2 linked regions of the Drosophila melanogaster genome follow. The protein of the gene in region 2 purifies or fractionates together with the protein of the main gene of each other region. This does not show direct contact. Each region holds a gene or a part of one and is shown on either strand. Other genes may lie near its edges.

Region 1 (4,054 bases), on a different chromosome or scaffold from region 2:
AGCTGTACATCATGCCATGCGAATACAACTACCGTCCAGATCACTGCATGTACATGAGCATTTGCAATATGTCTCAAACTGGCGTTAAGGTTATCCACGGAAATCGTGGTTATTTCCATTCAGACAGGCAGCCACTCTTTAAGAGTATCTACGGGGCTATGGAAAACTACCAACTGGGCTCCAACGCCAACACCGAATTCCTAATGCCCTTGCATGCAGCACTCAGTATACCATCCATCAAGAACTCAAGCTGTGGAAAAATATCAAATGAAGTCTTAAAAGTGGCGAACGCAGTCGTAACTAAAAGGTACAGGGAAGTCTAGCAGTACAGTAATTGTAAAATAATGCACTAGGTTATTATTAGAAAGTGTAGGATTAGCACTTATATCCCGATATACATTAGTCATAGTTTTTATAGAACTACGTTTTTTATATACGCAATAAAAATGTATATATGAAAGCTGTGCTTCAGCTAATCCAGATTAATATCTCAATAGTTTAAATGAAACAATTATATTTATTTTCGATGGATTGGTGGAGTAACAAAGACACTTTGCATTAAAACGGACTAAGCTAGGCAATAAATAAGGTCGTGCATTTGCACACAACATTGACTATGAACACAGGCAGGTATTTTCTAAATTAGACTTAATCCACGGTATGAATTTGCTCACTCTGGAGTAAACACCCGGATATCCTTCGCGGCCGCAACCAACGCCCCAGGACACAATGCCGACGATGAAATACTTAACGCCATTGGATAGCAACAGCGGTCCTCCACTGTCGCCCTGGCATGAGTCCATGGAAGGCCTACCCGCACACAACATGGATGAGGTAATTCGAGTACTTTTGTATCTTTGATTTCGGCATTCCGTGATGGACATGATTGGCACCTGCAATTGTCGTAGATGGTCATAATATACTCAAGAAACCAAATAGCATTACTCACCTTAACTTGATTAACTATGGATGGTAGTTCTCCTCCCTCGGATGTCCGTCCCCAGCCGACAACCGTTCCAATGCGACCTAAATCCAATTTCATATTAATATATACATATTTATTGCTAGGAATGCTAGAAATATTTACCTGCGGGGTCGTAATTATAGCGCGGTAGGCAGATTGGCTTTATAATTTTAGAAAACGATATAGGCTTGCGAAGTCGCAACAGGGCAATGTCGTTGTTGTATGTATCGGGGTCAAAGCTCTTGTGCTTTATCACAGCCGTAACCGCACGTTGGATGGCCTGTGACTCCGAGGTGATCTCTTGATCGTGGTCGCCGAATATGACTCTGATTTTGGATTTTCGCAGTTTCTTCACGCAGTGAGCGGCCGATAGAACGTAATCCTTCGTCAGTAAGGATCCTCCGCAATGGAACTTGCCGTCGTACACGATTCGTGCCATCCAAGGATATTGATTAACACCCGTGGGCTTTCCCCCAACAATCCGGATTTCTTCGTTCGAAAAGCCACAATCTGCACGAGTGAAATTTATCACATTAATTTAAATATCAGCAACAAACAACACATGCACATACCACAGTCACAGTTTTTTAGGCTGGAATTTTCGGTATACTCGACCTCGTCTTCGGTATCCGAAAGTCCAAAGGCATTCGATACTCCCGAACTTATGCGAAAAATTGTGTCAAATAGAAATTTACTGGTTCGTTTATTGTGGCCCGTGTGAATTGTGTTAATAGCGTCCGACTCATTGAAACCTTTGGAATATTCCAAGCTTAAGACACTTGAATAGTTCGCCGTCAACATCCAAAAAAAGATTATATACTTTAGGCTCATGTTCACGAATTAGATATCATTGTAACAAATGGGGGGATATGTTTGTGTTTATGGGAAACTTGATCACATCAAACAAACAACGTAACGAGTTCAAAACATTCTTAAACACAACAAAACATTTGCACAACTAATACGTAATACTCAACACAACATTAACAAGGTTTCTGTAGATACGGCTTAAGAATAAATAAGAGTCTGTAACTAATTAATGTAACATAAAATATGTACTAAGTCTGATAGTAATGTAGCGTACGGATCGCTTAGCGCTAATACAAAATGTGAGAGTTAGTCGCAGTGTGGCCACGTACCACTTTCTACCTGTTGACCACTTTCATGGTCAAGATGTGTCAGCTGTTCCACCAGTTTTTTTCACTTTCAGTTTATAAAAATCTACGAAATTATATTTTCAAAATTTTCTAACACGCTTTTTTTTTTGAATTTTTTTGGCTTTGGAAAGACTTTTGAATGGAATAATGCGTTAATTAAAAGACGTTTGTTGTTTTATAACAGTAACATTTTAATACCATATTTATTCTCTAGCTATGCAGATTTTTCGTTCTCCAGTCGAACAAATCATCCACACTGCAATCTTCTTCGCTTGAACTCAATTCCGGATCGACCTCCATCTTGGGGTCTACTCTTCGCTTTTTACTAAGGAGTACTTTTTTCTGATCGTTAATTTTAATAAATCTCTTCCAGTTGTCGATCTGCTCGTCGATCTCCTTGATGTGTCGCTTGAGATTGATGTCCTCCTGCTCGTCGGCCACAATTTCACTGGATTCCGTGTCCGCCCGCTTGATCTCCTGCTGGAATCGCTGCCATTCCTCGTCCTGAAGGCGAGCGGCCTCCGATTTATTGGTCTTATCCTCGTCGAAGAACTTTTCTGGCAGTTTCTCGACAGTAGTTTCATTCTCAGGCTTGCTGCTCGCATTTCCCTGGGCAGTTTTCTCTTGAATGAGGGGAGGATGCTTTTCCTGGCTGCTCTGTGGAGTTTTATCTGGCAGTGTGCTGGAGTTTTTGGCAGGAGCTGAAGTCTTGGTGGACGGACCCGTAGGATCCTTGGGTGCAGTAGTGGTGACGGGTTTCTCCACCTTATTCTGCTTAGCCTGATCGACGTTCAGTTTGTGCTGCTTGGAATTTATATGCACCTTCCAGACGTTGGGTTTGATAGGAATCCTGCAAATAATGCAGGTCAAGATGCCCGAGGAGTCATACGTATAGTTAAGTTCAGTTAAGGAAACCAACTAGCTGGATATTTATTCGAAATTAAAAGTTATATTAGAAAACAACATGTTTTAGTAAACACCGGCTAGAAAGTGTAAACAACAATAGAATTTCAGTGGGTTTTTTGCTTTTGTAAAGGATATTTTGCCAATGGTGAATCCACAGTGACTGCTGGCTTTTTCGAAACGCTGAGTTTCTTTTGAAGGCGTTTTATATTCCCATTATTCATGTTGATTTTCAATATTCTTAGGTTTTTCAGCGGCTTCTGTCAATCATAGGAATTAAACTAGAGATGAGCGCAACGGCGATTATTTTGAACAAGACACAGAACAAATGGAATGGAGAGTTTGCTTATTTTTTTATGCTATGCAAATAAATGGAACAAAAAGTTATTCCAAAAAATTGTTTAGATGTATTTTAAATTATTTTGGAATACAACGAAAACGAGGCAAGTACAAATTTAAAAGCATTCAAAGTTACGTTGCCCTGGTCTTGTTATCGATTGCACTATCGATAGCGTATCTAAAACCGAGTTGGCAGTCTACCCGGCAATTTTTTTAGACTACGTGTCTAAGCGAAGAATGTGTCGTTGCATTTCAGATCGGTTATAATTTTCGAGTTACTGGCTGGAATTGGGACATGAATCGGACGCCGAAGATGCTGAACAGCAAGGTGGCTGGCTACAGCAGCCTAATCACCTTCGCCATCCTGCTAATCGCCTGGCTGGCCGGATTTTCCTCTCGCCTCTTCGCCGTCATCCGTTTCGAGTCGATTATCCATGAGTTTGATCCGTGGTTCAACTACCGGGCCACCGCCTACATGGTGCAGAATGGTTGGTACAACTTCCTCAACTGGTTCGACGAGCGCGCATGGTATCCGCTCGGCAGGATTGTGGGCGGTACCGTCTATCCCGGCCTGATGATTACGTCCGGCGGAATCCATTGGCTGCTGCACGTACTCAACATACCGGTCCATATTCGTGACATCTGCGTGTTCCTGGCGCCGATCTTCAGTGGCCTGACCTCCATCTCCACC
Region 2 (9,191 bases):
CCTCGGCCTCGGGTTCATTATCAAACATCGGCGGCACCTTATGTACACCAGCTCCTCCTCCGCCTACATCTATTTCGTCTATTTTGTCTATTTCGGTGACTTTGTCGAGGCCCGGCTGCGTCATTGTTGTTGTGGCGGCGGTGGGTGGATGTGGATGTGGGTATTCGGGCTCATCTTCAGACATTGCTCGATAATTGGGAAAGCTAACAAATCGTTTTTTAATTATGGGAAATTCCTGGGACGCCTGCTCAGCGTGTGAGCTGGCCACCTGTCCGCGTCGGGTCATGGTGGTGCTCATTTCTGGGAAATGGCCGTCGGAATTCTTGCGGGGCAATTGCAGCAGTCTGGGAAAGTTCATCTGCCACGGGGCGTATACTTGATGTATGGGGAATCTTGCTGTGCACGGTGCGTATACATGATGTGGGCTGAATAGTTGAGTTTCATCTAAAATTGTGTGGTTCTCTGCTTCTTTCTGGTGCTTGAAGAAAAACAAGGGAAATCCTTGGTTGCTCCTTGATTTCAGATGCAAGGGAAACTTTCCTGTTTGCATTGTTTGGTAATATGTCTGGCAGACCTGCATGTTCCTGCTTCCACCCGCGTGATTCATGGGAAAGCTGCTCTGCCAAGCGATTCCTTGGCCAACCGGAAATTGCCCTGCCATTCCGAGCACTTCCGGCGCCGCCGCCTTTGACCAACAAAACACGGCTGACTCAGCTCCCTGATTTGCGATGCCATCAACAAGCCACTGCGAATTATGAATATTATTATTAGCTGCTGCCTGCGACATCAATGTCTGCTCCTCTGCTTCCCCCGATTCTGCCGGCCAATCCGCCTGCTGTGTCTTTGTCATCATCCTGCTGACCTATTGTCGTGGCCAACACGCGACCAAAGCGGGCTTATTCCTCCGATCACAATCGACTATGTATCACTCAACACGTTGCAAGCTAAACTGGCGCAATCCGTCGGCGGATGCACCGTGATCCGTCTATCTCAATTCGTTCCCAGTGGCTGCGCCTCGCTGGCAACCATCCGATCATTGATCAGTCTGCAATCTATGTAATTGCACATGAGTTGTGCGGCGTCAGGTGAGCATAAGGATCGAATTAACAATGCCCTGCAGATGGGTACTTATAGTGGTTGTTTTCAATTCACCAAAATAAAACTGTTCAAATCACTTGGTGCTATAAGATAAAAACAAGCCAGCTATTTGTTGTTCAAGAAAGTGTTTAGTATTTATAATTTATAATAATGTTCTCTCAGCTAACGTAAACATAATTTTATTATCTTCTCAGTGTTAAAATATGTGCTATTCGTTTATTAAAAAATTCCCTCCACTCAGCAAAATGTAGATAATACTAATCTGCTCGACTTATCTAAGCCAACTGAAATAACTGGACATGATTCCTATGTAGACTCATGGACCACATGGATGAATTAACTACAGGGCATATCAATGTTGATAGATCTTGTAAAACAATAGAAATCAAAGTTTGGTCAGGGGAGGTCGCGCGTGTTTCGGATGCTGGGCAGACCGAGGAGCGCTCTTGTATATGCACATCGGATAGGGTCTGCTATATAGCCGAAATATATATGTCAGCTTGCCAAATTGGTTTTTTGCGGGCCACAAAAAAAAAAAGAACGACAGGCAAAGAGACCGAATAAAAATCAGCTCGCGTCGCCCACCGACAATGCTATTGTTTAAATAGACCACAGAGCACGGCGCTATTTGGGTGACGTGGGGTAATACTGGGTGTCCATTCAGCAATTCTAATCCCATTCTGTTTCTTCCTCGCAGGCGCTGCGTGTCCTATCACGGACGACCGCCCAGCGCCTCGCCAGCGACGGGCAACAAGGTGCAGCACTACAACGAGTACAAGGCCCTGATCACAAGCATCTTCGGAGAGCTGACGCCGGAGAACAAGAAGCGAATCGAGGATCGGATCAAGAAGCAGCAGGCAAAGGCCAAGGCGGATGCGCAATCGAAACCCAGTACTAAGCCACCAGCCGCTCCACCAAAGGGCGGTTCGTCGCCGCCACCAGGTAAGGGCGAATCTGGAGGAAAAAAGAGATCCGATTCGTCTCCATCTGCGTCTATAGCTCCTACAGGTCCAGCACCCCGTAAGCCACTGATCAGTCTGCCAAGTAGACCTCCAAGGGGTGGAAAGCAGCGGTCCGGCTCGGCTCCAGCTCCTAATCTGGTTGATGAAGATTCAGCTGCTCGAAATAGGGAACCAGATGCTTCTGCATATGATGGCGCATCACCGTCAGCTTGGAAGAGATCGGGCTCTGCTCCAGCACCGAGTGTAGTTCCCAGGGCATCGGCCTCCCGCAGTCCGTCTAGAAAGTCACCTTCACCCTCTCACGACGGCATATCTCCTTCTACAAGACAAGAATCCTTAAGCAAAAAGAAATCAGGGTCGGCTCCAGCTCCGACGCCAACTTCTCGTGGACCATTCCGGACTGCGCCCTCCAATACAGAATTCATAAAGCGCAGACCTGCTAAAGATTACGGCAGTAGAAATGAAACCCAAAGCACTCCCGGGGAGTCGGAACTGGACCCAACAAAACCACAGCCCTAGTTTGAATCCTCCTTTGTAAGTCCACCAATAAAGATAGGTAATAGTTACAGAAAGAATATAAATATAAAACTTTACTTGTAATATCAACAACTTGTGGAGGCGACGCCTCCATTGTCTTTTGCTCAGTACTTCCAAAAGTTTGGATTCTGTTCCATGCGACGCTGGAAATTCGTATACCAATTTTGAACGACGGAGAAGGGCACAAAGGTCTCGCTCGAGATGGGCGGGATGTCTCTGGCTGCCACTCCGAAGCTGGAGGCGTAGTTGAAGAAGTTCTCCAGCATTCGCTGACCAAATTGCTTGTTGTCGTTGGCAGTGGACTGAAAATTGGAAATGGGGTTAGATTTGAATCGCAATTATTGCGCCAATCAAATCGGTTGGCAACTACTGATCTTCAGAACTTACCACGGCTGGCGTCTGTTGGGCCACCGTTAGCTCCGGTTCGAGGGAAACTCCAATCTGTGCGATGTGTGAGATCTCCTGGCTGCCGAAGACCATCCCGTGAGCCTGGGCCTCCAGCTCGTGACTCTTCTTCAGCTGGGCGATTTTGAAGATGGCGGAGGGCTTGGTGTTGTTTATGTGACCCAGATACTGCCATGTGGGTGCTGCGTTCGCGTCCGGCCAGCTGAAATATATCGCAGCGGAGGTGCCGACGGGCAGGGGTGATACGCCGGTGAGGAATACTACCAGGTAGTTGACGGATTCTATGTCGGGCACATTCACGAGCAACTTGGTGGCGTCCACGGCCACAAAATCCGATTGGGGCAGGCGTCCGGAGACTATCAGACCGAATAGCGACATTTTCGAGCGGTGGACTATTCCAGAATTCGATATGCCCGCTTTGTTGGGGGAGGAGATGTTATGGAGATGAGCAAAAAGGAACTACCTTATCGATGCTTTCTTTCCTAATGGTGTACAGCCCACTACGTTTCTAACAAAAAAATATATTGAAGTATATTGGAATTTGTTGCTTGCATATGTTCTGACAGTTGATGCATATTCCAAAATCCTAAAAAAAGATTTTTTTTTAAATTTTAAATGGAACTAGTTCAGGCGACTGCTACTTGGCTTGCCATTCACAGCGATACGGCAACTCCAAACAGCTGACGCTGCCATGCGAATGCTGATATCGTAGCAAAAACACAGGGACGGTGCGAAAGAAGAGGGATTTTATTTTGTTTTCGCCTGGCAATTGAGTAATGGCCGGACTCCTTCACCTGACCAAGCAGTGCAGCATCCACCTACCCGCCCACTTGGGACGCGCGAAATGCTACACACTCGCTAAGGGACCGGGAACACACGTGCAGGCAAGAGTGGTGAGTGCTCGGCCTCTAGACCCATTTCAAGGCCACCTGCCAGACTATCTAGACTAGATTACGGTTTCGTAATTACGCGTAAATACGCAATAAATTGGCGGTTTGATTGAGTGGGGACAGCCGGCGATCGGCGGGGAAAACAGTCTGCGTGTGCGTTGTTTTGGTCCTTCTCCACTTCCATCCGATCAATCTTGAATTAATGCTCCACGCTATGGCTTATTTCGTTGCAGCAAGCATAGAGTTAGACCAAAACAGCGCGCACGCACACAGACTTGGAGGATCGATCGGGTATTGGGGACAATGGGTCGCACGCAGCGTCGCCGGCATCAGAGGGCCAAGAAGTCTGACGAGAATTCGGGCTCCCTGCACGACCTCTACGTTCATCTACACTCCGTTGGCTGGCAGAACCACACTCACTTGTCGGCCCAATACTACGAACAGACAGGTCGAGGACTATGCTCTAAACAGAAGACCTTTTCTCCGGAGGATGAGCTCATTCGCCTGCCCATTGGCTGTCTCATAAGCATAGCGACTCTGGAATCTGATGGGCCATTCAAAAGTCTTTTCGACGAAGAGTTATTTGACAAGGACTCCAGAATTTCCTTTCAGGCACTGATAGCCTGTTATATTTTGTACCACAAGCACTTGCAGGAGTGTACGCTAGGGACTCACTCCTCTACTTACGCTGCATATTTGGACACCCTGCCCAGGTGCTACTCCACTCCGTATTTCTGCTCCATACCCGAGCTACAGTGTCTGCCAGAATCCCTGCTAGAGCGGACCGTGGCCCAGAACCGTCAGATAAGAGGTTACTTTGAAATTATTAAGAACATTGTACACAAATGCGATTGCTGTGGGAAGAGCTACGGCCAGGAGATTTGGACACTCGCAGACTTTAAGTGGGCCTACTTCAGCGTGAACACTAGGAGCGTCCACCTCAGTTCCCGCTTTCTGAAAAAGCAGAGCAACTACTTTCAGCCGCTTATCAGTGGCGACACCAACCTGGCATTGGCTCCGTTTCTGGATCTTTTTAACCACTCAGATCAAGTGGAAATCACAGCAGGGATTGAGGGTCCCGATTACGTTCTTACATTGAAATCTCTGCCATTTTCCGAGACCAAACCATATGATCAATTGTTCATCAGCTACGGTGCTTTGCCCAACTTTAAGCTATTGACGGAATATGGCTTTTGGCTAAGAGAAAATAAGCACGATTACTTTGAAGTCTCCCTACTGGACATTGAGCACATGATTAAGCAAAACAAGGAGCTATCAACGCAAACCTTTCACCGGAACATCTTTAAATTCATCAGGGAGCACAATCTGAACGATCAAATGTTCGTGCACATCGACGATGGATGCTCTCACAATCTAAGGGTTGTGCTGCACCTGATCTTCAAGCAGCAGGCCTACTTTCCCAACATCCTCAACCAGATTGCCTTTGGAGACGCCGAGCAGTTTCAGGACGTGCAGCCAGAGCTGTCGTACCTCGTAGAATATAAAATAAAGGAATACGAGATCTTTGGAGGAGAGCTGGATAAGCTTCCTAAATTGACAGAAAGTGGTGCAGTGGCACGGTCTTACCTCCAAGAGTGTATCCGTTACCTCGTTGACTTTCAATCGGTGCATCTAGCTGCATAGAAGCTGTCTAGGCTGAGCTTAGAATTTAAAACAAGGCGTTTAATATTGAAATGAATAGTAATAGATGTTAAAGAAAAACTACTTAAGTTTATATTATTTGAGGCATTTAAATTTTTTTTAATAAATCACAGAAAACTGTAAACTTTATTTTGTAAATGACCCCTTTCAGCTGTACTCTTCGCTGACTAAGGTTGATGATAAGAACAGCAGCGATGCCAAGCGGAAGAAGATTACCCCGTTTACGCCCACGCCGGGTAGCAAGCTCCTGGGTGGAGTATTCGGCAAGAAGGCCAAAGGTAGGTGCCGTGGGGCAGCATCAGTTACCCAGTAAATAACCAATGCTCGAGTATCCTGATTAATACAGCACCCCTGCAGATATCCGCAGGCTTTTTATTTAGTACTAGCCTCTCACGCTTTTTTTTTATTGACTAACCAACCCAAAATTGATTTTGTTTTGTGGACCGAGTACGTGCGTCCGTTTGTTTCTTTGTTTGTTTGTGCGCTTGTTGTGTTGAGCGCCTGTCTGAATTTGGCTGCATCCAAGTGAATTCAATGCAGGTGGAGCCCCAGCAGCAGCAGCAGCAAAAACAACAACGCTACAGCGGCAGCGACCTTACCGCCCACAACAACAGCAATCACGACTATGTCATGTTCATATAGGGGGCGGCAGCGATGGTGGCTCGGGATTGGGCAAGCTAGACGCGCCGGAGGTCACCTCCAAGGATATGCTGCGTGCCATGATGGCCTACATCTGGCCAAAGGAGGATCCACTGGTGCGAAAGCGGTAAGTTCATCTGACTATGACTGAGAATACTTTAATATCTATTGTTTTCCAAATTGACAGGGTGGGTATTTCCCTGGGTCTGTTGGCTGGCTCCAAGCTGCTGACCGTCTGTGTCCCCTTCTTGTTCAAAGGAGCTGTGGACACGATGACAACGCTGAACATGGACACTGCCCCGGATGCGGTCCTCTCCGCAGCCACCGCACTGATGTTGGGATGTAGGTTTCTTAGCCTGAGTTCCCTATCATAAAAGATCTTAACTGTCTAATTCACGCAGATGGCATTGCTAGAGCCAGTGCGGCGGGCTTTAATGAGTTGCGGAATGCAGTGTTTGCCAAGGTGGCCCACCACTCGATCCGAAAGATCGCCAGCAATGTGTTCCTGCATCTGCACAACCTGGATCTGGCCTTCCACCTGAACAAACAAACTGGAGCACTGTCAAAGACCATCGATCGAGGATCGAGGGGCATTAACTTTGTGCTCTCCGCCATGGTCTTCAACATTGTGCCCACTATCTTTGAGCTGGCCCTCGTGTCCAGTATCCTGGGAGTGAAGTGTGGCCTGGCCTTCGCTGGTGTCAGCATGGGCTGCGTTGGCATATACGCTGCCTACACTCTGAGTGTGACCCAGTGGCGCACCCAGTTCCGTGTATTTATGAACCAGGCGGAGAACGAGGCCGGCAACAAGGCCGTAGACTCGCTGATCAACTACGAGACGGTGAAGTACTTCAACAACGAAAAGTACGAGGCGGGTTGCTACAACGAGGTGCTGAAGAAGTATGAGGCGGCCAGCTTGAAGACTAGCTCCAGTCTCGCTCTGCTCAACTTTGGCCAGAACGCCATTTTCAGCAGCGCACTGAGTCTGATTATGGTATTGGCCGCCAAGGAGATTGCCCAAGGCAACATGACGGTTGGAGATTTGGTGATGGTCAACGCCCTGCTCTTCCAGCTCTCGATCCCCCTCGGTTTTCTGGGCAGTGTTTATCGTGAGGTGCGACAGGCTTTGCTGGACATGCGGGCCATGTTCACGTTGATGAACGTGGACAGTAGCATTCAGACAGCCGCCAATGCCCAGCCCCTGTTCGTGGACACCACTAACTCATCCATTGAGTTCCGCAACGTGAGCTTCGAGTACGAACCTGGCAAGCCCATTTTCCGGGACCTCAGTTTCACCATACCCGCCGGTAAAAACGTCGCCATTGTGGGCGGCTCTGGCTCAGGAAAATCGTCGATGGTGCGCCTTCTCTTCCGCTTCTTTGAGCCAAACTCTGGTAAAGTGTTGATCGGTGGCCAGGATATCAGCGCCGTGGATTTGGAGAGCCTGCGCAAGGTTATTGCAGTGGTGCCGCAGGATTCGGTGCTATTCCACAACACCATCGAGCACAATATCCACTATGGCAACCTGTCCAAGTCCCACGCAGAAGTGCAGAATGCTGCCCGCATGGCTGATTTGCATGACTCCATCATGAGCTGGCCAGGACAGTACTCCACTCAGGTAGGCGAACGTGGATTAAAGTTATCCGGTGGCGAGAAGCAGCGCGTTGCCATCGCTAGGGCCATACTGAAGAACACCCCCATTCTGATCTTTGACGAGGCTACAAGCAGTCTGGACTCGATCACCGAGCATGTGAGTGTTGAAAGCGACTAAGTGAACTTCTATAAACTGACGGAATCGGACTTCTTCCCTTTGTAGAACATTCTGCAGGCTCTGACCCGCGCTACCTCAGGACGCACTAGCATTTGCATTGCCCACCGTCTCTCGACAGTCAAGGATGCGGACGAGATTCTGGTGCTCGAGAACGGACGTGTAGGTGAACGTGGCACCCATTCGGAGCTGCTGAGGCAGAATGGACTGTATGCCCGCCTCTGGGAGACGCAGACGCAGCAGTTCGACCCGAGCCGGGAGATCAATGAGGAGGTGGCAGCGAAGAAGACGCGGGGCGTGGCGTAGACGAGGCTCCTAGCCTATTTATGTGTTTGTTATAATGTTATAACCATCCCCTTCGTTTGGCAATCCCTAGCCACTAAATTCACCGTAGAATCCTCCTGGACCGGAGATTCGCTATTCATAGGCTTAAAGTATCATTGTGACGTTTGTAAATACAGCTGTAGATATGCGATAAGAGAAATTGAACGGGATGTGGTACAATATGGAACATTTATTATCAGTTTTATCACCCATACATTCGGTTATATCGCTCTGGTTTCCAAGGTTTTGTTTCGAGATTTAATTGATTTGAGCGTATCGTTATGTAAATGCAAAATAATGTGATATTATTAAATGCATTTCATTGATATATAGACAAAACCAAGAGGATTTGTGTATATCCTTCAAATCGGACCTTCATTTCTTCAATATAAATTGTTATCCTCTGATTTATAGGCAATATAGGTTTTGAATTTGCTTAACCAGATTTAATATCGAATCTAGATACGGCTAAAACCGAAATAGTGCCGATGGTTAGCCTTCTCCTTCAATCTCCCCCCTTTACGGCCTGCGGAATGGGCACATCGTAGAGCAAGTACATTAGGCAGTTGCCAATGTGGCCCAAAAACTGCTGGTAGTTGGTAACCCGATGCTGGAACTCCTGCCACAGCGGCAGGACAGACCGCTCCTCGGTATCAGGCTGTTCTATCGTGATGCCCTGCTCCAGCATCGTTTTGTTGGTGTATGTGAACAGATACGAAGCTGGCTTCTGGCCAATGGTGGTGACCAAGTGGGTGATGTTGCTCTCCAGACCGATGCTCTTGCCGGCTGTCAGGAAATAGGCCTCCGGATCCCGCTCGTTCCGGTACCGAACATTTCCCTCAAGAATGGTCAGCGTGCAGTTGATAAGGTCCGGCGAGATGAAGTTGGTCAGAGTTAGTCCCGGGA

The links. Proteins that work in one complex are often made in the same cells at the same time.
Region 1: the proteins of ABCB7 (region 2) and CG11836 purify together in Drosophila melanogaster (affinity purification with mass spectrometry, with the first as the bait; one large-scale study listed by BioGRID). This does not show direct contact.

Annotation. Positions count from the first base shown.
Region 1 is NT_033777.3:25,069,159-25,073,212, reverse strand, and holds CG11836 (uncharacterized protein), read right to left. Parts: upstream 2,088-4,054; 5' UTR 1,796-2,087; coding exon 1,537-1,795; intron 1,475-1,536; coding exon 1,088-1,474; intron 1,027-1,087; coding exon 950-1,026; intron 894-949; coding exon 615-893; 3' UTR 501-614; downstream 1-500. Other genes in the region: shams, read left to right, coding at 1-323; CG11839 (uncharacterized protein), read right to left, coding at 2,332-3,010, 3,163-3,248; Stt3B (catalytic subunit 3B of the oligosaccharyltransferase complex), read left to right, coding at 3,659-4,054.
Region 2 is NT_037436.4:1,614,723-1,623,913, forward strand, and holds ABCB7 (ATP binding cassette subfamily B member 7), read left to right. Parts: upstream 1-3,691; 5' UTR 3,692-3,778; coding exon 3,779-3,895; intron 3,896-4,125; exon of another isoform or gene 4,126-4,195; coding exon of another isoform or gene 4,196-5,536; exon of another isoform or gene 5,537-5,675; intron 5,676-5,705; coding exon 5,706-5,832; intron 5,833-6,094; coding exon 6,095-6,320; intron 6,321-6,380; coding exon 6,381-6,535; intron 6,536-6,594; coding exon 6,595-7,943; intron 7,944-8,009; coding exon 8,010-8,267; 3' UTR 8,268-8,691; downstream 8,692-9,191. Other genes in the region: CG33791 (uncharacterized protein), read left to right, coding at 1,796-2,579; CG12105 (uncharacterized protein), read right to left, coding at 1-853; CG13926 (uncharacterized protein), read right to left, coding at 2,702-2,899, 2,985-3,380; CG33230 (uncharacterized protein), read left to right, coding at 4,196-5,536; GC (gamma-glutamyl carboxylase), read right to left, coding at 8,791-9,191.